3 linked regions of the Arabidopsis thaliana genome follow. The protein of the gene in region 1 interacts with the protein of each later gene in a pairwise test. Each region holds a gene or a part of one and is shown on either strand. Other genes may lie near its edges.

Region 1 (7,807 bases):
TTCTAATCGAGAAAACAAATCAAAACATATATTCAATAAAAAAACTCAAAAAAATACAAAATAAAAAAAATGACGATGCCATGAAATACTCAGAGAATTACACTAGCTAATGAATGGATGAAAGGATAGATCATACTTACGTTTGATTTTTGATTTTGATTTTGATTTTCGTTAGTTTGGGTAGATGCCATAATTGAGAAAATAGGGTTTCAATATATTGATTAGGGTTTTCTGATAAGAATAAAATATATAGGGTTTGGATGGAAGATATAATTATTTTAATTAATTAAAAAAAAAAATTAACCTAACCGCTACCGCCCGCAACCGCAAACGCTTACGGGAAGAAGCTTTTGAAATCTGGCGATTTCAAGCGGTCCAAAACGGTATCTAGCGGTTTCTATGATTAGTGTCAAACGCTAACAACCGCTACCACCCGCAAACGCAGCGTTTGCAGGTGGCAGAGGGAGAACCAATCAAAACATTAGTCACTGGTTTAAATTGCGTTCTAACTCTGTAAGCCTCACTTCAATTTTGGTTTTAGGCCCCAAAAAAAGGGATATACTGTTATGGGTTTGATTCGGTGAGATATTTGCGTCATCAAAATATGTATGATAAGTTCAAGAAGGGACACAATTGGAAATTATTAGCGTTGACATTAAAGAAATACGCGTGGAAGATTAGCGATACAATCATACAAGCAGAAGAAGCCATTTTCTAATTTAAAAACGATTACACACCTCATCAGTCATCATCATCAACATTCCTAAACCCATTTTTTGTGATAAATAAAAATAAAGTAAAAAGTAGATTAGACAGGGACATGATGGGACCACCACCAAGACCATTACAATAATACTAGTCAGGCTTCTTCTGTCTGCTCCACCCTTCTGATTCAGTGACTGTGAGCCTCGTGTCCCTCCTATATCACATTTTAAAATTCACAATTAATTTAAAAACGAATTAAAGAATTAACAAAAGTATACAAAACACTTGTTATACGCTCATGGTCGCTACGTTAGAGAATTAGGCACACTCTTACGTTTCCTAGGACTATATTCAATGCATTATTAATCTTTATAAACAAAGATTCGTTCTTTGACCCACCAAAGAATACTAAAACTAATGGTTACTTTTACTTTTTTTTTTTGCTTTATGAATCTCAAAACCAAAAAGATAAAAAATTTACCCGGTGGGGGAAAATGGAGTGGAGGATGTTGGGCTTGGTGGGCTTGGAGTGGGTGGAGCGGAGGACGCCGTGTTTCTTGAACTGTTCTCTAACAACACGGTTGTAGATAAAAGCTGCGCCTTGAAACTGAGGAAGAACTAGCCAAGCCACGAACACAAGTTTCACCGTATACCAAATCGGAATCCACTCAATAAGCGATTGCAGAATCAGTTCCGTGAGTGAGAGGAACGAATATATTATCCAATACGCAAGCCACTGTTCATCGTCCACTTTTGTTGTGCTCTCCATTGCTATCACCGATGCGTACCTGTAATCAAAAACATAATTAGTAAATATTCACAGATTTTTGTTTTTAATCTTCAACAAAAAGTAGAGAGATCGAACCAGAAAGAAACTTTTTCTTTTGTTAAAGGGTTTAACAAGAGAGAAACTTACAATGGATAAAGTAACATCACGATAGGCCTGCATATACATTACCAACAAATCGATTACGGTTTGGATTAGAAATCGAAACAGAGGAAATCAAAAAGTAACTAATTTTGGAAACATAATGGAAGGAAAATTAAGATTAAGAATAATTACCCAGCGCCTGAATGAAGAGCAGTGAGGAAAGTCCAAAATTTGTCCATTGTTTTTCTTCCTTTGCAAGATTTTTGGAAATGTTTAGGGGCTCTGTGAAATAAGAGAGAAAGAGAGAGCGACAAGTCTGTGTAAATTTCGAGGCGAATCAATTTTATGTAGAAGAAGAAGACAAAGAAATGTGAAAGGAAGAACCTAATTTATAGAAGGAAGGTAAAGGTATCTAAGAGAGAAATGGTACGGTTTGCTACAGAAGTTGGTTGGTTCACACACTTTTCATTGGCTCTTATTGGTGGAATATCATAAATAATATTTTATTTTTATTTTTTTAATTAACGTCGTACTAGAACGCTGATGCCGACATACAACTAGTCCGGTCTGGTCTGTCTTTGGTCTGTCTGGTTCGATTGGGTTCGGTTAGTTTATCCCACACGTGGCGAGATTCTAAGCTTGAAGGCGTCGACATGGCACCGACCTTAAGAATAAAAAAGACAAGACGTCGGTCGGTGAGAGCTTATGTCATTTCTTTATTTCTTTATTAATCTTTTAAAGAGATACTTTTGTCATTTTATTAATCTTTTTGCTGATTATTATTTTACCTTCTTTGCAAAGTTCAAAATTTGTGATTAGTTTGATTAAGGGTGAAACTAATGGGTTTGATTTTCTCCCAAGTCACGTAAGCTTCGGAAAAAGTTATGACCCAATTACATTCTTTTGTTCCTTTGATAGTCTAATTATATATATTTTGAATCTTCTTAACAAGTAACTTCGTAAAACCCAACAAATAGTTGATTCAAGTAAAACATATGACTGATGGATTCAAAATGAAAGATATACTTGGAATTATGCTTTTTTTCTTTTGGGCAACAAAACACTGCAAATTCATAAAAATAGCTTCCAAAAATGAAAACCCAATAAAGATGTAACAATTGAATGTGTGGCCTTCTTTTGTTTGAGTCCATTTTCTATTTAAATGATTAGCATCTTTTTTTGCTCAACTAAATGATTAGCTTTAACCATACTAATTTTACACAAAACATATTTTCAACATTAGTGTCACCGATGCACCTAATCACCACCAATGTAGTTCTTTCCCCAAAAAAGTTTATGAATAGAAAAGATGTAGAGGGGTGTAGTTTTTGCTTCTTCATCCAATGATAGAGTATTATTTTGTAAGATTTTCCTAAAACCATAAATACATACATTACTTATACTGTTTTAACCAACATAGTTACAGCCAAAGTTGAAGAGGTTCAATGAATTAAAAGAGAAGGCGAGAGGTAATAATACAAAACTAAACTTTTTTTATTTATTGAGATTGATGAACATTCTCAAACCAAAATAAATAAAAATATCAAGTAGGAACCAAAGTAATGATTTGTGTATTCATGGAGAGATGATCAAAGTGGTTCATCAACACAACTAAAACCCATGACAAAAGCAGCACCATTGTAACAGAAACAAATCTTCTAATCGTTGTCTTCTTCTTTGCTTTCGTGGTATCACTCGAACTCGTCACATTCGAAGACCAACAAGATGAATGAGAAAGCAATGTCGTCTTCTTAGTTTGATCATCATCATCAGAGTCGTGAAAGAGTTTTCTCCTTAATGGCGATATTTCTTGTATCATCTCTGCCTTTGGTTTGTGTTGGAGAGAGAGCATTAGGTTTCTGGGAGAGTTTTCGACATACTCAAGAGCATCTTCCACGGTAATCCATGAAACCGCAGATGAGTTTTTACCTGTTTTCATGGCTGTCCATTCCTCCTCAAGCTCTCTCAACTTCTCCTTCAGATGTTCGTGTGAACTACTCTCCTCTCTTTCTTCCATTTTCATTTCTTACCATTTACTTTGCTATGAATTAAAATGAATGTGGTTTATATCACTGTGAGATCTCTCACTAATTACTTTTAAAAACTTAGCTAGTCTTTGAATTGAATTATAATATTTGAAATTTGAAATTGAACAATTCAAATGTCAATAACTGAAAATGATTTTACCGAAGGAAAATCACAACTGATCCTCCACTAAATTCTGCATTAAATTTGTTCATAATGTGAAGGCAAAAAACAAACGATTGAGATATACATGGAATCTCAGAGATTATAGAGTTTAAACTAAATCAAGGCCCACTGGTTGTTTAAGAGGTAAAAGAGTCGGAAATGTCTTCCATCACACCTTTCCCATCTTCACCATCATAGTAGAAGAAGTTTTTCAACGGGTCTCCTTTGCCTGATACTGCTTTGATCACCTCCTGCCACATCAAAAAATCTTTCTTGTCAAATTACAAGTTTCTAGTGAGAAGATTCGAATGCGATAAGAGAGTGAAAGTGAGAGAGAGAGAACCTGTGCTAATATTCCTCCCACAATGGCACAAACTGGCGGGAATTCAGTAGTACCAGTGATAAGTCTCTCCAAGAGAATATCTGGTATATGGCTCTCGCTCACAGACTGAGAGACAATATTCAGTTATTCAGTGAACCTGGCAGTGACATTTCTAAATAATGATAAAACAACTAAACACACTTACGTTTGCCTCACAGAGTTGCTTTTTGATTTCCAAGACTCTGGCAAGATCGAGTAGCGAACATTCTCCATGTTTACGCCCTTCACTCTCTTCAAACACTTCTATTACTGAAAATTTCATGAGAATGCCAAAGATTAGTGAAGAATTTTTGTTGTATGTATCTGCCTTGGGATCTCAATTTTCATTTGTGGAAAGTAATAAAGAAATCAGCTGTAGTAACTAGTAACTACCTCTCATAGCAAAGTAGAGCTTTGCTGTTCTCCGAGGAATCGGTTTCCATGGTACCGATATAGCTTCCTGTGGCAATAAACAAATCTAATTTATCACAAAATCCTATGCAGATGTAAGGATTATTAGTAGCGAGAACTAGTGTTAAATTGTACCTGAAAACTTGGAAAATTTAGTTCGCATTCCACCATCTCTTCAAGCTTTTTCTGTGGAAAGAAAATTATCAGGAAAACAATACAAAGGACATTGTGCAAATTAGAAGTTGTTAATGAAGTTTAAATGTTCAATGGAATTATAGAAATTTAAAAATAAGCCAGATGAAATGTCAAAACAGCACATAATCAACAGAAGAAATGCAACAACAAATCATGCAAGTACCTTTGTGTACTTGTAATCTTGGAGGTCCACAAAGATTTCACCACATGAGTCTCTACAATCGACTGTATAGAATGCGACACGTTTCTTTAACTTCCGACATTTTTCATTGACATATTTCTGCAAAAAATAAACAGACAACGTCATGAAGAGATGTATGGAGCAACTAAAGATGAAAGCAAGTGGTAAATATGTAAAAGGTGGTATAAATACTTTGGTAGCACGAGAACCATAGCCTATAACTACGACATCAAACTGCTCAAAAAAATCAGTGCCAAGCATTGACAAATCACCTGAAAGATTTGAAAAATTGATCAGATAATAGTCGGTATGTTTTTAAAACATTAACGGAGAGGTATTAGAGGGAAACCTTTCTCTACGGAAACACGGACCATAGGGTTGAAATCCTTGAGTGAATCACTACAAATCTCAGCCACAGTTTTGCCACTGTAAACATTTTCATCAGGCGGAATCAAAAAGTTAGCGTTCAAGGCCTCCATGTTTGCTAAACGATCATCCATTAAAGTCACTGAACCAACTCCTGCCAGCACAATGTTCTTGCAAAACTAACCCACCAAATGGAAACAAAGCCAGGAAATGCAGTAAGATACCATTAGATTAAACTAATTGAAAAGCATGACATCTCAGCATGAATTATAGAGTTACAGCTACCTCAGCAACAGTCCCCTTAATTCCAGATACCAAGATATGAGCTTTGGTCAATCTGCAAGGCAAAACACCAACCTCACACTATATCAAATCGTGCCAAGCTTACAGAGTAATTACATGGTAGTGTAGTGTATCAATAAAATAAGCTTCAGCAAAAAGCAAAATATGAATGAATACATCAATCTTAATAGTTAAAAAACAAAACTCTCATCTCAGAACAACCTAAGGGAGCTCATAATTAGGAATGCACTAGTCTAGAAGCAGAATCCAAACGCTAAACCAATAATAGGTATTAACTAAAATTCTCTTAAGACAAAGACAAACAAATAAAAACCAAAACTGAAGCCAAGAGAAAGTAATCGAATGGAGGAGAAGCAAAAAAAAATACAATTTTAATGATCTAAATCCGCATTTAAGAAGGGACCATTAAGCATTCTCCTAAAATGGCCAAATAGTAAGAGTTTAGTACTCAAAGCCGACTCAAATCATAATTGAGATGATGCAGCTTAAAAGCACTTAAATTTAGAAAAGTGAAAACAAGATTGAGTGTTGAAAAGAACAAGGGGATGAGAAAGTAACCTTCTCTGAGCATTAGCGCCCCAAACCCTAATCTGGCGGTCGTACAAGGCAGTCTCCTGCTCGGTAAGCTCTTCTCCGTCCATTCCCAAATTCAAGCTATCAATTCAACAAAGCTTTGCTCTAAGAAACTAGAATTTGCGTGTATAATTTTACTGGATTTATCTATGAAAACTGGAGCTTTCGATAAACCTAGTCCTCCCACTGGGTCGATTTTGGTCAACTCTCTCACAGTGTTTGCCAAAAAAGCAACGGAGGTTTCTATTTATTTTATTTCTAGTAAAATAGAAAAAGAAAAAATATAAATGGTATGTTTCGATCGCCGGTTGGATCCGGTCCGACCGCATATCAGTTGATTAATACAAAATTTAATACATAAATTATACAATAGTTTTACACAGTTTTCATATGTTCTACGGTCATAATTCATAAACCTAGTCTCCACTGAATCGATGTTTGGCAATAATCATAATTCATGAATTGATAAAAATATTTTTGAAATACTAAAAAAGCGTCGACGGTCAAATTGGTTTGAGTCTTTGCATGGCAACAATGTCGGATTGTCACCGGTGCTTTTGTAAGTCTTAACTTTGGTTTGATAAATCAAGTAAAAAAGTAGTATCTGTTTTGCAGGTTAAATACTGAAAATTTACAAGAGTTTTCACCTCTTTTGTTTGAGTAATCATCTATATCAAAATATTATGAAATAAGTAATATTATAAAAAGACATACCTGCGAAATCGTGAAAATAGAGTTTCCTTGTCCAATAAAATGTTGTTCATTCTCCTTTAGTCCTTTCTCTGCACAATTCTGCAAATGTTCAAACACTGGTGAATATAAAGAAACATATTTAATTCTCTCAAGACCATTGAACGTCTTATTTTCTATCGTTTCATTTGCCTCTCGCTCTCTTTAATTTAATTCGGTGGTAATTTTTCTAGTGGCATGAGTCAATAGTTTTTTGTTGGTTTAATGAAACATTCAATGAACATGTTACGTGTATCGGTGTATCATTAGTTACATTGAACTTTGCCGCTTGTAATTTACCATCGAATTTTTGTAATAGGATGATGAAAACTAGGTGAAACGCTATTGGTATTGGGTGAAACTCTATTTCTTGATAATTTTCTACCAATCTCATAGTGTTTTTATTGTGGTCAAACAAGAACACATCTCACATTTTATATCGGGACATTATGGAATTTGTAGTCAACTAAAATTTAAAAGTTCAAACATACAATAAAAAAAAAAAACAATTTTAATTAATTTTCATTTCAGTAAAGCGTTTTGAGACACTTATATATTAATAATATTTGGAGGAGAAGAGAGTAACCATAAACTACAAACATGAGTTTGGTCGCCAGTTTGCAACTCATCCTCCCGCCACGGCCGAGAAGCACCAAGTTGTTGTGCTCATTGCAAAGCCCAAAACAAGAACAAGAACTCTCTTCTACTTCTCCTCCAATCTCTCTTTTACCAAAACTAATCTCTTTTGCTCTTGCTATCTCTCTAACTTCCTTTTCCCCTGCCTTAGCCATTCCTTCTCTCTCCTCTTCTCAGCCACTCACCACTCCTTTCACCCAATCCAAGTTCGTCCAGACCGGTCTTCTCAATGGGTTTGTTCCTCTTCTCACTCTGATTTCTGCTCTCTAAACAAAGCTAATCTTTA
Region 2 (7,938 bases), on another chromosome or scaffold:
AGTTTTTGTTTAAGGGAGTGCTTTTAATAACTTGTCATATACGATTTGTAGTTTGATGTTACATTCCCTGCGCTTCAATGTTCGATTATTAGTCTTGATTCCATGGATATCAGTGGGGAGAGGCACCTTGATGTGGTATGTCCTGGTGAATTGTTTTGTTCCATTACGTTTGTTTTTTTCTTTTCAAATTGAGATTATGTGTGTGTTTACTTTGTCTGATTTTGGATTCTGTTCGTTTGTATGGTGCAGCGACATGACATTATTAAAAGGAGATTAGACTCTTCTGGCAATGTCATCGAGGCAAAACAAGACGGAATTGGTCATACTAAGGTTGGTTTTTCTATGGTTTTGAAATTTTTCATTTTCATGTGTCATCTCTGATCTCATTGCAAGAAGTTTTAAGAGATTGAAAGTGTTGAAGTTCTGTCTTGTTTGCTTCGTTATGTCTCTAATTACCTAATGTTATTGTTTATCCATAGATTGAAAAACCTTTACAAAAACATGGTGGAAGGTTGGAACACAATGAAACATACTGTGGTTCCTGTTTTGGAGCAGAAGCGGTAAGCTTCCCTAAATTATTCTAAGAATATGCTCTGACAAGCGATATTGGACTTTAAGTTGCAGTAGAGAATATTCAACTGAGTTCTTTAGTGTTGATTCAGTTAATTTACATTTTAGTTTCTTCTATGGTGGTGAAATGTTTTTTATCCTTGTTACATGTTGTGGTTGTCATTGCTTACATGTTACAGTCAGATGATGCTTGTTGTAATTCATGTGAGGAAGTTCGCGAAGCTTACCGAAAGAAAGGTTGGGCCCTCTCGGACCCTGAATCAATCGACCAGGTATACTGACGTTCCTTCACTAACAACAAAATTGGGTTGATCTTGGTACTTAGTTTGAAACAAATAGTGACACCTTGTTTGGCACTAAAATGGATATATCTAAAGAAACCATGGGTATCTGGTCTTTCGTTTCAGCTATCCCCACATCTAGTTGTATGATATTCTTACTCATCATTTCATTTCAGTGTAAAAGAGAAGGCTTTGTGCAAAAGGTAAAAGATGAAGAAGGTGAAGGTTGTAATGTTCACGGTTTCTTGGAAGTTAACAAAGTTGCTGGGAACTTTCATTTCATTCCTGGGCAAAGCTTTCATCAATCCGGTTTTCAATTTCATGATATGTTATTGTTCCAGCAAGGCAACTACAATGTAAGAAAAGTTTTATTTTTGTTTCATTCTCTCTTTATAAGCTCATATTTCAAATGGGTCTTGACTCTATTATATCATTACACAGATTAGCCACAAGGTCAACAGGTTGGCCTTTGGAGACTTTTTCCCCGGTGTAGTGAACCCTCTTGATGGGTAAAAACTCAATTATATAGCCATTACTCGCACCTGTTATCGCTTTTTCAATAATCCTATCTTCTGAAACATTCTCTTGGTTCTCTCAGTGTGCAGTGGAATCAGGGGAAACAGAGTGGCGTCTATCAATACTTCATCAAGGTTTGCTTCATTTGTACATTATATCTATAGACAATGCTCTCACCTGGGACAATAGTTTAGGTACAAAATTTTGAGATTCCTAAAAGGCTCATTATTAGCTCAGGTTACTGATAGAGAAGTACAAAGACATTAATACATTATGCTTGTTGACCAATGCAATAAGAATTTCTTTATCGGTAGCTTTTGCATGCTAGAAAGATTGTTGAGCGTAGGGATAAAGAATGGATTGTGGTGTTGAATTTCAGGTGGTACCAAGCATATACACCGATGTTCACCAGAATACAATACAGTCAAACCAGGTAAATCCCACATCCCCAAATCTCTATATAAAAATCTTTGTCATTTTCTTCTTGTAAAATCTAACCTATGAGTTTTTGTTTTTAACAGTTCTCTGTGACAGAACATTTCCAGAACATGGAAGCAGGTCGCATGCAATCTCCGCCTGGTGTTTTCTTCTACTATGATCTATCGCCAATTAAGGTCTGTTCGTTTTTTCTTTTTCTTTTTCCAAGTCGTGTTCTTAATACCAACGGAGACTATATCTCTAGAAACATTTTAACTTTTGATTGTTGGCTAGGTGATATTTGAGGAGCAACATGTGGAGTTCTTGCACTTCCTAACAAATGTTTGCGCTATAGTAGGAGGTAATCAATATATATATCCCTTCTCCATTCAATTTAAACATACCCTACTGATATGTTTATCATCAAATTCAAAACTAAAATTATACCTTTGATTTGCAGGTATCTTCACGGTATCGGGAATAGTAGATTCGTTCATATACCATGGACAACGAGCAATTAAGAAGAAAATGGAGATTGGTAAATTCAACTGAGTTGTTTGATATTCTCCACACTTTCTTGATCAGCTACTGGAGAATCATCTCTACGGGTTTTACAGTTAGACATTAGGTTTGAATTTGTGACAATGCGATGATTTAAAGAATTTTGTAGTACTGTAAGATATTCCAGGATCTGAACTTTGCCTTTCACTATTCACTATCTCTTCATAGGCAACATACAAAGTGTAAAATGTTGTTATCACCGATTGAAACGAATGTTAATTTTTCCTATTTAATTTGAGCTCATTTGTTTAAAGTGTAGTCTAAATCTGAAGATACCGATCTTGCTTTATGTTATTAAACTAAAGCCTTGTTTTTTTAAGTGTCTACGTTTGTTGATAATCAGAGAAAGTGGTTTCTTAGATTAGCTTAAAGCCATGGATTGAAATACACTAAAGTTGATTCAGGATGCTTCCTCATTTACAGTCTAAGCAACACTTCCAGAATTTAGTTATTACGAGAAGTGAGTTACATGTTTTGTAGATTTAGAAGGAGTTTTTGCAGTTTCATACCAATCAAGTTTTTATAGTTAAGGAATTTAGTTTCTTCTACTTTGATCGTTGTTCTTTTGTGCCAATTTAACTTGAACTAAGAAAATCAAGGAACTACAAAAATTACATAAGAAATCTCACACGGTCGAAGCATGCCAAAAAAAAACAGCTTGGACCGACGCAGAGATTAACACTAATTAACATCAAAGTAGATAAACTTATTTGATATTAACATAACAAACCCCCTTAATAATAATAAAATCTCTGCAATGACCAAAAACTCCATCGCAGAGAGCTCTAAAGTCCCTAAAATACCCCTATGGCAACATCTAATTTACAAGACTCGAACACTGAAGAATCGAATCCCAATCGATCTCGTACGACGGATACTTCTCCAACGCGTTCTCGTTCCACGGCGGCTGAATCTCCTCCTCCGTATCACCAAACGTCAGCTCCGACAACGGCGAAGAAGATCCACCAGATCCATAACTCTCCGTTAACAGCGGCGAAGATCCGGCGCTAGAGTAGTCCTCCTCCGGTAGTTTCACTGCGACGGTTGATGAACGTTTCCGAGAAGAAGACTTCTTCGTTGATCTCACCTGTTTCTGCGTCGTCTCAGCTAAGTTTTGACAAATAGCTTCAAGCTTAGCGTCGACTGATGATTGAAGAGGTTGATACTCGTCGTTATGACGGAGATCAGGGAAATTAAGCCGCGCAAAATCTCCTCGGAGCTTATACGCCGCCTTGTCATAAGCTAAAGCAGCTTCCTCCGCCGTGTCGAATGTTCCGAGCCAAAGTCGAGTTCGATTCCTCGGTAAACGAATCTCAGCCACCCATTTTCCCCAGTGACGTTGTCTCACTCCTCTGTATAGCTTCGTCGGTTTAGCCGCGGAAGTACCGGTTTGTTTCATTGAGACCGGTTTAGGACTAAGATGGTGAGAAAATGAGTGGAGATCCGACCCGTATGAAATTGGAGCGGGTAGAGAGAACGCAAACGCGGATGAATCGTTGGAAGGGCTTTTGATAAAAGGTAAAAGCGCTTCCATTAATTCACCACCGAATGGATCAGATTGTTGAAACGTTTTGTTACTGTAAAAATCCATAGAAGTTGTCATTTCTAATAAAAAGAAATTTTTTTCCCTTGTTCTTGTAAAAAAAGTAAAGAACAGGATTTTTTGTTTTCAAGAAAATCGAAAAAGAGGTTTATAAAATAAAAAACCTCTGTGTAGATTTCTGAGAGGAGGGAATTAAAAAAATACCCTCACAAACGATTAATTCTACAAAGAAAAAAAAACACAAGAAGATCAAAAATAAAAAAAGATTGATCTCTTTAAGAAAATACAAACCAAGAAATCAGTTTTCTTCTATACGAAAGACAGATTACTAACAGAAATGAATCAAAGTAGCGGGAAATAAACAGATCTAAGGGGGATGGATTTGTAAAGAATAAAAGTTAAGGAGAAAACCAGAAAGTATATCAACTTTTTTTTTTGGTTACACTCAAGTTTTTTTTTTTTTTTGTAAGTGAATAACTCTCAGCCTCACCGATACACTTATCTCATTAGCTTGGCTCTTGTTTATATAGGAGGCGTGGCGTGACTTCTTTTTTCCATCCTCCTCATATTTCTCAAATTTATATGTTTAATTAATTTTTTCTTTTGTTATTTTATGTACTATTTCAGATAAGATCATCCATGTTTACGTACTCCAAATAATATATATTCAATTTCAATCAAACATTGTTTGTAAGTTGAGTTTTAACAAGTTTTGTTTTAGAATGGTTAATTTTTACAAGTTAAAATGTTTCTACAAGTTTATTCTATAATCGAAGCGTTTTAATTTTACAATCATAGTTTGATGGAGAATCATTTCATTATATTACATTCACACCGGCTTTATGGGACGTTTCTTCCATAACCATATTAATCTTTTTTCTATTCAAATAGAAGTGAGTGGACGTACACAACTCCATAAATTTTAAAAGATTAGTTAAAAAAATGGTTGTCTACTCATTTAGCTAGACGTCTTTCTAAGCGGTTGAAACTAATGTACACGAGCACTTCGATTCCAGCCAAATTGATAAAATTGAAATCAACATATTTTTACGATTTATTTGGTAGAGGCGTCCAACAATTGGTCCACTAGTCCAGCTAGTAGATTTAGAATTCTTTTGTATATATGCGAAAACAAAACTTCTGAAAATTTTCAATAAAATGGAACTGAGAGAATATTAAGAATGAGATTATCCAAATTAATAGTATATATTGAAGTATATCAAACCGAAAAAGTATAAAAATAATTATTCGGAGGTTCCGAATGTGACACACGTAGACTTCATGATTGTTAAGCAATAATTTTGGCTCGCAATGTAATGATGATATCATGTTAATGAGTGGTTTAGACTTTTATTTAGATAATAAATCATACAAGATTAAAAAAGAAGGGTCTAGAGGGTTAGAATGAATGGCTGAGAACTCCTCAAATGTCAATTCCGTATTATATCATCCATTTAATTAGTTTATTAAACATTTCATCATCTTACGATATCTTATAGAGTTGCATCACTTAATTTATTGCTTCGTGTAATCGTGTACAAATGTCACTACAATCAATACGGCGTCAATTTGCAAGGTTAGACTATGGTGTCATCATTTTATAATGATCAATATTTTGAGGGAAGACGCGCATAAGGAGGTACCACCCATGTGGATGGCTCGTGTCCGTGTTACCAGTTCATCTTTACGATGCTGATTTATCTCGTTTACATGTATTATCATATGCATGTATATTTCGTACTTGCTTGCTTTGGTGAACATTGCATATGTGTAATAACTTGTCTAAGCGTTATTTTTCTTATACTTTGTTATGTATTTTTGATAAAAGTCAACTTTCAGTATTGATATCTACATTTAATGCAAAAACTGAATAAGAAAAAGACCAATTAGCTAGACCATAAATTAACCACTCATATAGCTACAAACCTATAAAACTATGGTTAAACAAATTGTAAAGAAAGAAAAAAAACTCTACGCATGAGAAAAGGGAAAAGCAAGAAAAACTCCAACGCATGATTTCATAACCGTAAGCCGAGCGTGTCCACAGGGGAAATGAAATAGTCAACTACAAAATCATTACTCAAGTCTTAGCTGTATGTAATAACTGACAGCTTTTTGCTGCCTATTTTTCTCCTTTTGAATTTTTCTTTTTATTCAAAATCATATATATATGAAAATTGGCCTACACTCTCCATATAAATGATACATCATCACACAAAAAAATGACATGTGTCATTCTATATTAATTAAATAAAAAAACTAGCAAAACTAATTGAGAAAAAATTAAAAGTCTTTTGTTGTGTTAATCTCACTCTTAAATGAATTTTCTAAAAAACATTCGATAAATAAAAAGTCATAATAATGTACCAAGCACTACTTTCATTTTATTCTACTTATTTTATTAAAAACATTTAATCAATAATCATTAATCTATAATGGCTAAAAATTTACTTGTGTTGTAGTTTAGATGTTTGCTACCTAACCTCATATTAATTTAGTAATTTTAGTTAAATATTTTATTATTATTATATTTTGTGAATTTGATTTATCATATGAACTTCTTTCGGTACATTTTGTGTGTTAAGATAATTTTGTAACATTGATATATAATTTTTTCACGTAATAGTCATCCTAGACATTAGACATACCAAAAAAACAACAACATGTGACTTTATATGATTATATGGTAGGGATAAGAATTAAAATGTTGACTTAAATTACTAGCATATCAGGATGTGATTGTGTACTAGATAACGAGATAATATATGGAATAAAGAATTGTTTGTTACAATTAAGTTAGACAAGTTTTAAAATACATAAGTAATATAACTACTTATATCAGTATATCATTTACTGTTATAGTATGTGATCATGATAGTGAAATATTAGAATAATAAATATATAAATATTCATATTGTAGTTGAATTGATATTTTGAGTTATAGATGAATCTAATCATAAAAAATAATAATTATATTAAATGGATGAATTTATCAAAATGAACATCTTTTTTTTTTGTCAAACAATCAAAATGAACATCAAAATCAACAAAAAACCATAATCATATTTTTCCGACAATTTTAAAAACAAAAATCGATGCGTAGCATGGGTGTTCATCTAGTTTATTTAAACAATAATACTTTATTAGTGTACTCTCAAGTTCTCTGACATTTTTTTTTTATTGGGGGCAAATGAAATGACTGACATTTTTGCATTGTTGTTCCTTAACTTGTCTATAAAAGTAGTTGTTTGATAGCTAGATTCACTGCATCTAAATCAAGTAATATAATAGTACATACATGTCATTTTTAGGATTTTTGAGAAATATTTGTAAATCGTAAAGAAAAAAGGTAGATCCGATTTGTGACTAATTTGGTCGAAAAGAAAAGAAAAGAAAAGAAGGTGGATCTGATTGGATTTTTGCTTTTGGTATGAACTTTTGCAATTTAATGCTCATAACGCGGTTTCCGTCAAACGCGTCCGTTTTATCTGTCGAAGTCAAACAACCGTTGCGAATCTGCCACGTGTTCACCCTCAAAGGTCCATTTTGTACTGTTTATCTGACTAGCTCACCTTAAAAGGCTTATTAAACTCCACGTGTCTTTTTGACCTCTTGACTTTGAATGATCTTACTAGTTTACAATTGTATTTTCTCACCTAATTTAATTAACACTAATACGTAAAATGAGAAATATACTCACCTAATTTTAATTTATATTAATGCATAAGATGAGAAATATAGTAGTAGTAGAACAAGTTGGTAAAATACAAATGCATGTGAAAATGCGTGTATTGGGTGAAGTGAAAGTAGAGAAAAATAGATTTGCTAATTTATTTTTCCTTTGGTGATATCGAAAGGAGGGTGTCGTTGTTTTTCGATCAGTTGCACGTTGTTCTACGAGGGAAAGAGGAATTGCATGTGGATTTTAGGTGAATTGTCTCCGTTAATTTTTGCATGACATATGGCCATTGCAGACTATTTATTATACAAAGCTTATGTGATTATGTCGTATGTTTTTGTACAAGATGGTAAGAAAAAAAGCTTCTCAAG
Region 3 (8,983 bases), on another chromosome or scaffold:
AAGGGTAGTAGTCGGAGTAAATAGGAAGAAAGACTAATAATGTTTTTGTTTTGAATCACCCGCGAGTCAAGTCAATATCAGTGAGTGGGTTTCTGCTAGAGTCAAGTGATCTGCCTGAGCCTGAGCCTGAAACGGGCCATCCGCTCATTCCCTGAGCTGGGAAGTTCTGTGGCGTATGCTGACCCGTCGATGCTGCAGCTTCTGGTGCACTACCAGGTGTGGTCTCCATTTCGCTATTGGTCGGCTCTTGCTTAGGTTTTATTTCTTGTTTGATGGTCTTGTTATTGTTATTATTAGACTTTGCACTTGCTCCGTACACGAAACTACAAGCCACCACCTTCAAAATAACAACCAACAAAAAAATTTAGTTTAAGAGTCACATTACATATAAACAAATCCAAACAAAATTTCTCAAACCGTACCAGAACCGTATTTTGAACTTTTGTATTCCAGGTAGCACAAATGTTATACCAAACAATTACAACCAAAACAAAACTTAATGGAGCCAAACCAATTTTGAAATACCTGAACGAGGCTGGCTGCGATAAGCATTCCAATTCCACCGCCGATAACATGACCTTCAGGACCAGAAAGAGAGACACTCAAACCGCCTGTTCGACTTTTGGATCCACCTTCTTCATTCACCAGATAAGATCCACCTAAACTTAGAATCTCAAAACGTCCCTAAAGAACACAAAGAAGGGATAAAGAATCTTTAGTTCTCCACGGTTTGGTTCTTTTTTGGATTAACTGAATGAACGATTTTGAAACCTCAAATGTTAAGGAAGGCGTTGTTGAAGCGGGTTCACGCAGAGTGACTGAAGAAACCGTTCCAGTGCCTGACATTATACAAAGAGCCCGAGGTCTTTTTTGTGAAAAAGACAAAACTTTCGAAACAATATCCTGCAAGAAAAATAAAAGGAAATTGAAACAATGAAAAGCTGCATAACTCATTAAGATTGATAGGAGTTTTTAGAGATTACTTCTCCTGATCCAACACTGATCACATGAGGTGCAAAAGCAAGTCCAGCTGATGTATTCATCCACTCACCTAAGGTAATTAACAGAGTTAAATGACCATTTACTTATCTCAACACAAATGGATCAGTCAAATTACTCTCATAGTTAATACCTAACAACCGATGTTGAGTAGCAGTAACAACAGAGCCAAATCAATACTAATTTGACCATAAAATCATTAAGCTTCTAGCAACCAAAATCTACCTAATCATAAGACCCCAGCTCGTGTTCTTCACAATGTACATAGAAGAAAGTTGTGCCAAAGCTTACAAATTGTGTCCATAAATCAAGAAGTCAAATATCGAGTTGACTACCACATTCTAATGACCAATTACTCATCTCAACTGGCATTGTACCCACACATGGATCAGTCAATTTAATACCTAACAATCAATGTTGAGTAACAGTAACAGTAAGGCTAAAGCAACAAAAACCTAAAATAACCATAGAATCATACATAGCTTCTACCATTCAAACTTTCATCTAATCATAAGATCCTTCAAGGGTTAGCCAACAGAGCTAAAACAACAACTTAACTTAATCAAGTACACAGAAAAAACTTGAGATCTCACCAAGATTAGCCAAGCGTTGCTTCCTTCCAGTTCCGGGAGGTCGACCTCTGGCTCTTTTAGGTGCATTAGGATCAGACATTGAAGAAGAGTCCTTAGACTTTTTACTAACACAAGGCATTGGAGAAAGCCCCAATGAAACTTGTCCATCAGGAACATACTTTCTTGGCCTTCCACGTTTCTTCTTAACCATCGGTTGCTCCGACGGTGGAGGCGGCAGCTGCAGAGTAGGCTGCACCGCAGCAGGAGAAGCCATCCCCATGTGAATGCTGTGTCCGAAATCAGAATGCCTGTGCTCAGCCATGGAGAAAGGAGGTCCTGGATTGCTAGCCTGAGGGTGGTGAATGTTAGGGTTTGACATTGGCCTCATTCCCGGAGGTGGCGGCGGCGCGTGAAGACCACTCGCGACCTGGGAAGGTGTAAGATTGGTAAAAACTCCTCTCTGAAGATAGAACTGAGAATGCGAGCCTGGAAATGCCATAGCTTCTCTCCCATCCATGCATTTAAAACCCTAAATTACAATTCTTTAAGAATCTAAGAGATTTTTTAAAAAAGGAAACTTTTTTGAAGAACAAATTTATCTACCACCCAGAAATCGTAAACCCTAATAACCCAAAGAGTGAAAAGAACAACAATGGCGGCTTTTATATACCCAGTAATCAAAGTCGGGTTATTTTCAGCTGTGAGCTTAAGATCCAAACTGTTTTTATGAAACCTAGAAAAGAAAAAGAAGCTAAATGTTGAGTTCACTTAGAACTCAAAAAGAAAGTAAAATTGCAGATTTGAAATGAAGACAACAAGCAAAAGTAGCTACTACTACTGTTACAGTCTCTCTGGTAGAGAAAGCAAATCTCAGAAAAAAAAAAGGAAAGAAAAAAAAAGAAGAGAAAGGAAGTGAAGACCATTGTTTCTATTTATATACTATTTCTTTAATTAATTTTGTCAAAAAAAAATATTCAATTGGTTTACAAAAAAAATAAATTGGGTTGTTTAAGAATTTTTTTTATTAAAAAGGATATAGACTTTCTTCAATGGTTTATAACAAAATCTAATGTCTCATTAGATTTCTGACTGAAAAAGAAATTTAAGTCAATTTGAGGATATATATTCATTAATATTTAATGCTTTTCATGTATAAATTATGAGCTTGTCATCTTCCTATAAATTAAGGATCCTAAATCTTGTGTGTGTTGAATTACACATTGTCTACCAAATAAGAGGAATCAAGTTTACTAAATATGTTAAAGAACCTGAAAGAAAAATAGTGAACTAGTAAAGAAACCAAGTTCTTGATGACCACAATGAGATCATAAAAGAGTTAAAAAAATCTCCTAAAATAGCATGAAAGTGGGAGGGTTCTGTTACATTAACAATGTTAGAAGGAGCTGAGAGATCTAGTATCAATCCTTAAATGTCTGATTTCAACATTCCCAGAGAGAAATCTACAATAACATATGTACAGCAATCACATTTTGTATGCTGCTGCTTCAAAGACTAATAGTGTATATCATCCACGAGTCAAATCAAAATCAGTGAGTGGGTTTCTGCAAATGTCAAGTGATCTGCCAGAGCCTGAGCCTGAACCGGGCCACCCCCTTATTCCCTGAGAAGAGAAGTTCTGTGGCGTCTGCTGACCCGCAGATGCTGCTGGTTCAGCTGCACTACCCGGTGTGGTCTCCATTTCACTATTGTTGTCCTCTTCATTTGGTTCCTTTTCTTGTCTGATGGTCTTGTTATTGTTATTATGAGTCTTTGCCCTTGCTCCGTATACAAAACTACATGCCACCACCTGAATAACAAACAAGTTTTTCAAACACTACCACATGATATCTTGAAGAGGAAAGAAAGTGACAGCACAAACATATCAAAGGCTAACATTCGTAGTTAGTTTCGCCTCGTTTTAGCTTCACTTTACAACCATTAAGAAGAAGAATTTAATATACCTGAACAAGGTTGGCTGCGATAAGCATGTCAACTCCACCGGCAATAATACTACCATCGGGACGAGAAAGAGAGACACTCAATCCGCCTGTTCGACTTCTGGATCCACCTTCTTCATTCACCAAATAAGATCCACCAAAACTTATAATCTCAAAAGGTCCCTAAGAAACACAGAAAGAGGATTAAATAAGAAATCTTTTCAGGTTTTTCTTTTTCGATTAACTGAATGAACGACTTTGAAACCTCGTATGTTAAGTGACGATCGGTTGAACCGGGTTTGCACAGAGTGACTGAAGAAATGGTTCCAGTGCCTGACATTATACAAAGAGCCCGAGGTCTTTGTTGTGAAAATGACAAAACTTTCGCAGCAATGTCCTGCAAAGAAAAATAAAAGGAAATTGATACAATGAAAAGCTGCATAAATGATCATTAATATATAAAGGAGTTTTGGTCAGTTTACTTCTCCTGCTCCAATGCTGATCACATGAGGTGCAAAAGCAAGTCCAGCTGAAGTATTCATCCACTCACCTAAAGAAATTATCAGAGTCAAGAGTTTGCTATTACTTAAAGTTTGATTAATCACATTATGATGACCAATTACTTAAACATGAATGGATTAGTAAGATTACTCTTTCACAGCTTAAAAACCTAAATCAATAACTTAAATCAAGAAGTCGATTTCGTCCACATCTACTAATAACCAATTACTCCTCTCACCTAGCATTGTACCACACATAGATCCGTCAAACTAATAGCCAACAATCAATATTGAGTATCAGTAACGACAAAGTAACAAAACCTAACTTAACTATAGAATCATTCAAAGCTTCTAGCATCCATAAGATTCAAGCTCATGTCCTTCAAGACTAGCTAACAGAGCTAAAGCAAAAACTTAACTTGACAAAGTACACAGAATAGAAAACTCGAGATCTCACCAAGATTAGCCAAGCGTTGCTTCCTTCCAGTTCCAGGAGGTCGACCTCTGGCCCGTTTAGGTTCATTAGGATCAGACATTGGAGAAGAGTCCCTAGACTTATTACTAACCATCGGTTCTCCATACTTTCTTGGCCGTCCACGTTTCCTCTTAACCATCGGTTCCTCTGGTGGTGGCGGTGGCGGTGGCGGTTGCACATCAGCATCAGAAGCAGAGGAGACCACTCCCATGTGAATGGTGTGTCCAAAATCCGAGAAAGGAGGTCCTGGATTGTTAGCCTGAGGGTGATGAATGTTAGGGTTAGACATTGGCCTCAATCCCGTATGTGGCGGCGGCGCGTGAAGCCCACTCGCGACTTGGGAAGGTGCGAGATTAGTAAAGGCTCCTCTTTGAAGATAGTACTGAGAATGCGAGCCTGGAAATGCCATTGCTTCTCTTCCGTCCATGCATTAAAAACTCCAAAATTACAAGTCTTTAACAGAAATAAGAGATTTTTAAATTGATTAACAAAAAAAGGAAACAAATTTATCTAATCTAATACCCAGAAATCATAAACCCTAATTCCCAAAAGTAGTAAAGAGAACAACAATGGCGGTTTTAAAATTACCCAGTAATCAAAGTCGGGTTATTTATACTGTGAGCTCAAAATCCAATTTGTTCTTATGAACCCTAAAAAAAAAAAGCTAAAATCTGAGTTCACTTATAGAACTCGAAAAAGTACGATTGCAGATTTGAAATTAAGAAAACAGAGGAAAGTAGCTTCTCCTACTGTTACAGTCTTGCAGAGAAAAAAATCAAATCTCCCCCTAAGAGAAAAGCTAGATTTGATTGAGAGAAATCTAGGGTTTCTGAGAAGGAGAACACAATGTATATCAGAGGAGAGACAAAGGAAGAAGACAGATGAGACAATTCAGGGAGAAGAAGAGAAAAAGAGAGAGAGAGAGAGAGAGAGAGAGAGAGAGAGAGAGAGAGAGAGAGAGAGAGAGAGAGAGAGAGAGAGACTAACAGTTTAATGATTCTGATTTATACTTTTAATATTGTGAACTTTTGAATTGAGAGAGGTCTTTCTCTGAAAGTTAGAAGAAAACTAAAGAAGCTGAACGAGAGTGACGACCATTGTTTTTCGTATTTATATATCTCTTTAATTGATTTGTTATTTAATTTTGTGAAAGATAAATTCAATTGAGAGAAAGATTATTATGAAAGATTTAAGCATAGTTTGTTTAAGAATATTTGTTTAAGAATATTTAATGTATTAGTTTGTTTAAGAATATTTAATGTATTAGTTTGTTTAAGAATAGTTTATTTAAAGTATTAGTTTGTTTAAGAATATTTGTTTTTAATAAAAAGGATAGACTTTCTTTGATGATTATTACAAATCTAATATCTCGTTAGATCTTTGACTGAAACCGAAATTTATTAGTCATTGAGAGACAATTATGTGCTTTATTCTCATAAACATTGCTACCAATAAAGATTTAAAAAAAAAATCTTTTCTAACATATTCTAAAGAAAACAGTTGACATTTTAGATTATTATATCATGTAATATATTATTTCTTCTGTGACACACTTTTTCCGTTTTTATATGGAATCATGTTTAGTGGGTAAAATATGTATGCAAAATTTGAAGATAAATTCAATATATATATATGAAAAGTATAATAATGTTTCTAAAGAAACTAAAAAAATAAAGTGAAAATAAAAAGAGAAAAATGTACAAACCTTTTAAAATAATCAAAAATATATTATTCTTGCTAGAAAAAAGAAAAAACTACAACATGATTATTTCAATTTTGGAGCTATTTTAGTGGCTTTACAAACTTTCTACACCTCAACTAATCATGTCTATATATCTTCAATAGTTATCTGTAATTTTTTTTGGTCAACTGCTCTATAATATATTTATAATTTATTTTTAATTAGTATAGATAATTATAAGATTATTTCAAAATATATCTAAAAATTTTAGGTTTTCTTATAAATATATAATCTTGAAATTTCATTCAGTTACACTTTGACAAGAGGCAAGACTAGTATGAAATGACTTCATATCATCTTAATTCAAATTAAGATTTTAAAAGAACAAAAAAAATCAAATCTTGTTGTAAAAAGTTTGATCTTGATTAGAAATATCCAAATATGAGAGAGATGTGTTGTTGACTAAAGGATAGGAAAGAGAATGGGGACACACTTGAATCTCTTCTCTCTCACATGTCTAACTCACTTTGCTATTTCTTTCTTTGCTTCGGACAGTGAGCCCTCTCTCCTAACTTTATTTGTTTTCCATTTTTATATTCCCCTTTTTCTCTTTTACTTTTTATCTAAAATTCTTTTTTTTTATTTTCTTTTAAAAGTTTTGAAAGTGATTTATTAATATATATATATATATATATACGTACATATATTTTGTTTCCACCTAATTTGAAAGTTTGTATGATGCATTTAATATCCGGTGGCTAAAGTACCCGACCAAAAAATCCAAATAGTCAAAATTTGGTGCTAGATATAAATAAAAGTTTTCTAGAGATATATCATATATTATATATTTTGGGTTTAATTAGATTTGTTTTGCTACTCCATTATGAATAATCTTTACATTAATTTGTTTTGTTTAATGTCAACAATATTACATTTGCACACATTTGACTTTTGACAATAAAATAAAGAGTTTTGACTTTCCTTCTTTCACTTTTTGTTTTGCCAACTTTTTACCTAAAGTAATGTGACTTGTCTTTTTTTACTTAGAAATTTCATGATAGGAAAAATTTGAGGCCGACCATTACTGAACTTATACAATATTTTACTTGTTCTTCTTACATAAATAGCTATAAACATACACAAATCAGTCCATTTCATCTACATGTAACATTAATAACTTTAATAAATAAACAAGATATGGACAGTGTGAAATTCACAATAAATGTACTAGATAGATTTTCAAAAATGGAAGAAGAGTGTTGAAGGAAGCTTTCAGCTTGAGGATGGTGTCTCAAAAGGTACAATAAGGCTCTGTTTCTATGAAAGTCCCTTACTTATTACTTCACAACACATATACACACATTATGATACATACATATATAGAGAGATATGATTGTGGGTCTCTGAAACATGATGTCATCAAAAGTGGGTCTCTTTCTGATTCTTGTAAGGAAAGTGATCTCAACTGTTGCTTTTTTATTTTCCTTCTCATGAATTTGTGGGGATTAAGAGATATGATTCTCTTCACACATTGGTGGTCCAACAATAGTTCAAAATTCTAATAGCTGCTGGTAGTTTGATTTTGGTAGAGTTTGTTGAGTTTAAAAAGTGAGAGATATCAACAAATACATACTATAAATCTATAATTGAATAAGAATACAAATTTCAATGGTAAATGTGTTAAACTTGAATAAAACATCAAAGAATGAAACAAGCTTTAAATCTAAGATCTAAGCTAATATCTCCTCTATACATAGTTGTGATTAGAATTTCTTATATTACATAATCATCAAATTCTAGTTATAGATCCACTGATCCAGTTCAAAAAAAAAAAAGATCCAAAAATCTGGCAAATTATTAAGTCCAAAACCTTTTTAATGTGAACTTGTCCATTTTCCAATGGGAAACATTACAAAAAGGTTTGAGAAAACTCATCTAAAATTGAATAAATGAAATTGCTCTATATATCATACCCTCAAGAGATTATTATGTTGGTTTTTAAGTGAAAAACCAGGGAAGAATATGAACCTGAGGACTCCGTTTAGTTGTCCGTTTGATGTGTTTTCGGGTTTTCCACTTTAAGTCATTAACTGCTGCATCAGTCGCGACCATTCTTGTCCGTCTTTGGTTCAGAGACGGTCTCTCTGGCTCTGTTGCTCTGTTAATAGATATCAATCAAACAAATGGGTTCAGAAAAATGGGAGGAAGTGTAGAGTATCTTAACGAATCTGTAAACATTCTCGGTTCAAGCCACTAAGCCTAACAGAAACCACACAATCAGTAGCTTTTGATTGTGACCTAAACTAATGAGTGAAGCAAAAGTATAGAGGTTTCAAGAAAGTATGCTTTTAAAAATCTAAGATCGATGTGAATACAAGTGTGTAGCAATGTGGTTTAGAGTAAGCTTTTATTGCAAAGGAACAAACCTGGCGGGATCGATCTGTGGAGTGGTTTCTGCCAGTGGACAGCAAGCGGAGCAGACATAAGCCTTAGGCCGCCAATGAAGCTTTAAACAATAGGTGTGATACCATTCGCCACATTGACTACAAGAAACCATGGATCTTGAGTTGTATGGCTTTAGACAAATGCAGTGTAACATACTCCGAGCTCGTAAAGACTGCATCAATTTACCATGATACAAACAGTTTTAGATAACAGTAAGGTTATGTGTTAAGCTTTGCTAACATTCATTTCATATTAACCTGAAGTTCCTGCTCTGCATGAACAGGTAAGTTTTCACCCTCAGAAATAAGCTCGAAAACATCTTCCAAGGCAAGAGCACCTGAGTCTGTTACCACCTGCAGATAAAACCAATAGCT

Evidence for each region. Proteins that work in one complex are often made in the same cells at the same time.
Region 2: the proteins of HVA22D (region 1) and AT1G22190 interact in a two-hybrid assay, tested with the Arabidopsis thaliana proteins (one large-scale study listed by BioGRID).
Region 3: the proteins of HVA22D (region 1) and AT1G63480 interact in a two-hybrid assay, tested with the Arabidopsis thaliana proteins (one large-scale study listed by BioGRID).

What each region holds. Positions count from the first base shown.
Region 1 is NC_003075.7:12,822,068-12,829,874, reverse strand, and holds HVA22D (HVA22 homologue D), read right to left. Parts: upstream 2,020-7,807; 5' UTR 1,816-2,019; coding exon 1,769-1,815; intron 1,649-1,768; coding exon 1,622-1,648; exon of another isoform or gene 1,494-1,621; coding exon 1,187-1,493; intron 1,035-1,186; coding exon of another isoform or gene 1,015-1,034; intron 920-1,014; coding exon 893-919; coding exon of another isoform or gene 856-892; 3' UTR 572-855; downstream 1-571. Other genes in the region: AT4G24950 (uncharacterized protein), read right to left, coding at 3,120-3,593; SAE1A (SUMO-activating enzyme 1A), read right to left, coding at 3,904-4,017, 4,110-4,214, 4,294-4,397, 4,521-4,587, 4,674-4,724, 4,897-5,013, 5,107-5,186, 5,264-5,459 and 2 more; AT4G24930 (thylakoid lumenal 17.9 kDa protein, chloroplast), read left to right, coding at 7,486-7,754.
Region 2 is NC_003070.9:7,832,255-7,840,192, reverse strand, and holds AT1G22190 (Integrase-type DNA-binding superfamily protein), read right to left. Parts: upstream 4,413-7,938; 5' UTR 3,949-4,412; coding exon 3,163-3,948; 3' UTR 2,782-3,162; downstream 1-2,781. Other genes in the region: AT1G22200 (Endoplasmic reticulum vesicle transporter protein), read left to right, coding at 52-135, 250-330, 480-560, 750-842, 1,028-1,207, 1,293-1,360, 1,450-1,501, 1,747-1,800 and 3 more.
Region 3 is NC_003070.9:23,536,776-23,545,758, forward strand, and holds AT1G63480 (AT hook motif DNA-binding family protein), read right to left. Parts: upstream 5,459-8,983; 5' UTR 4,911-5,458; coding exon 4,466-4,910; intron 4,059-4,465; coding exon 3,991-4,058; intron 3,906-3,990; coding exon 3,774-3,905; intron 3,692-3,773; coding exon 3,533-3,691; intron 3,379-3,532; coding exon 3,097-3,378; 3' UTR 2,782-3,096; downstream 1-2,781. Other genes in the region: AT1G63470 (AT hook motif DNA-binding family protein), read right to left, coding at 56-337, 526-684, 772-903, 984-1,051, 1,593-2,088; AT1G63490 (transcription factor jumonji (jmjC) domain-containing protein), read right to left, coding at 8,163-8,322, 8,591-8,781, 8,867-8,962. UniProt on the Arabidopsis thaliana protein: Transcription factor that specifically binds AT-rich DNA sequences related to the nuclear matrix attachment regions (MARs).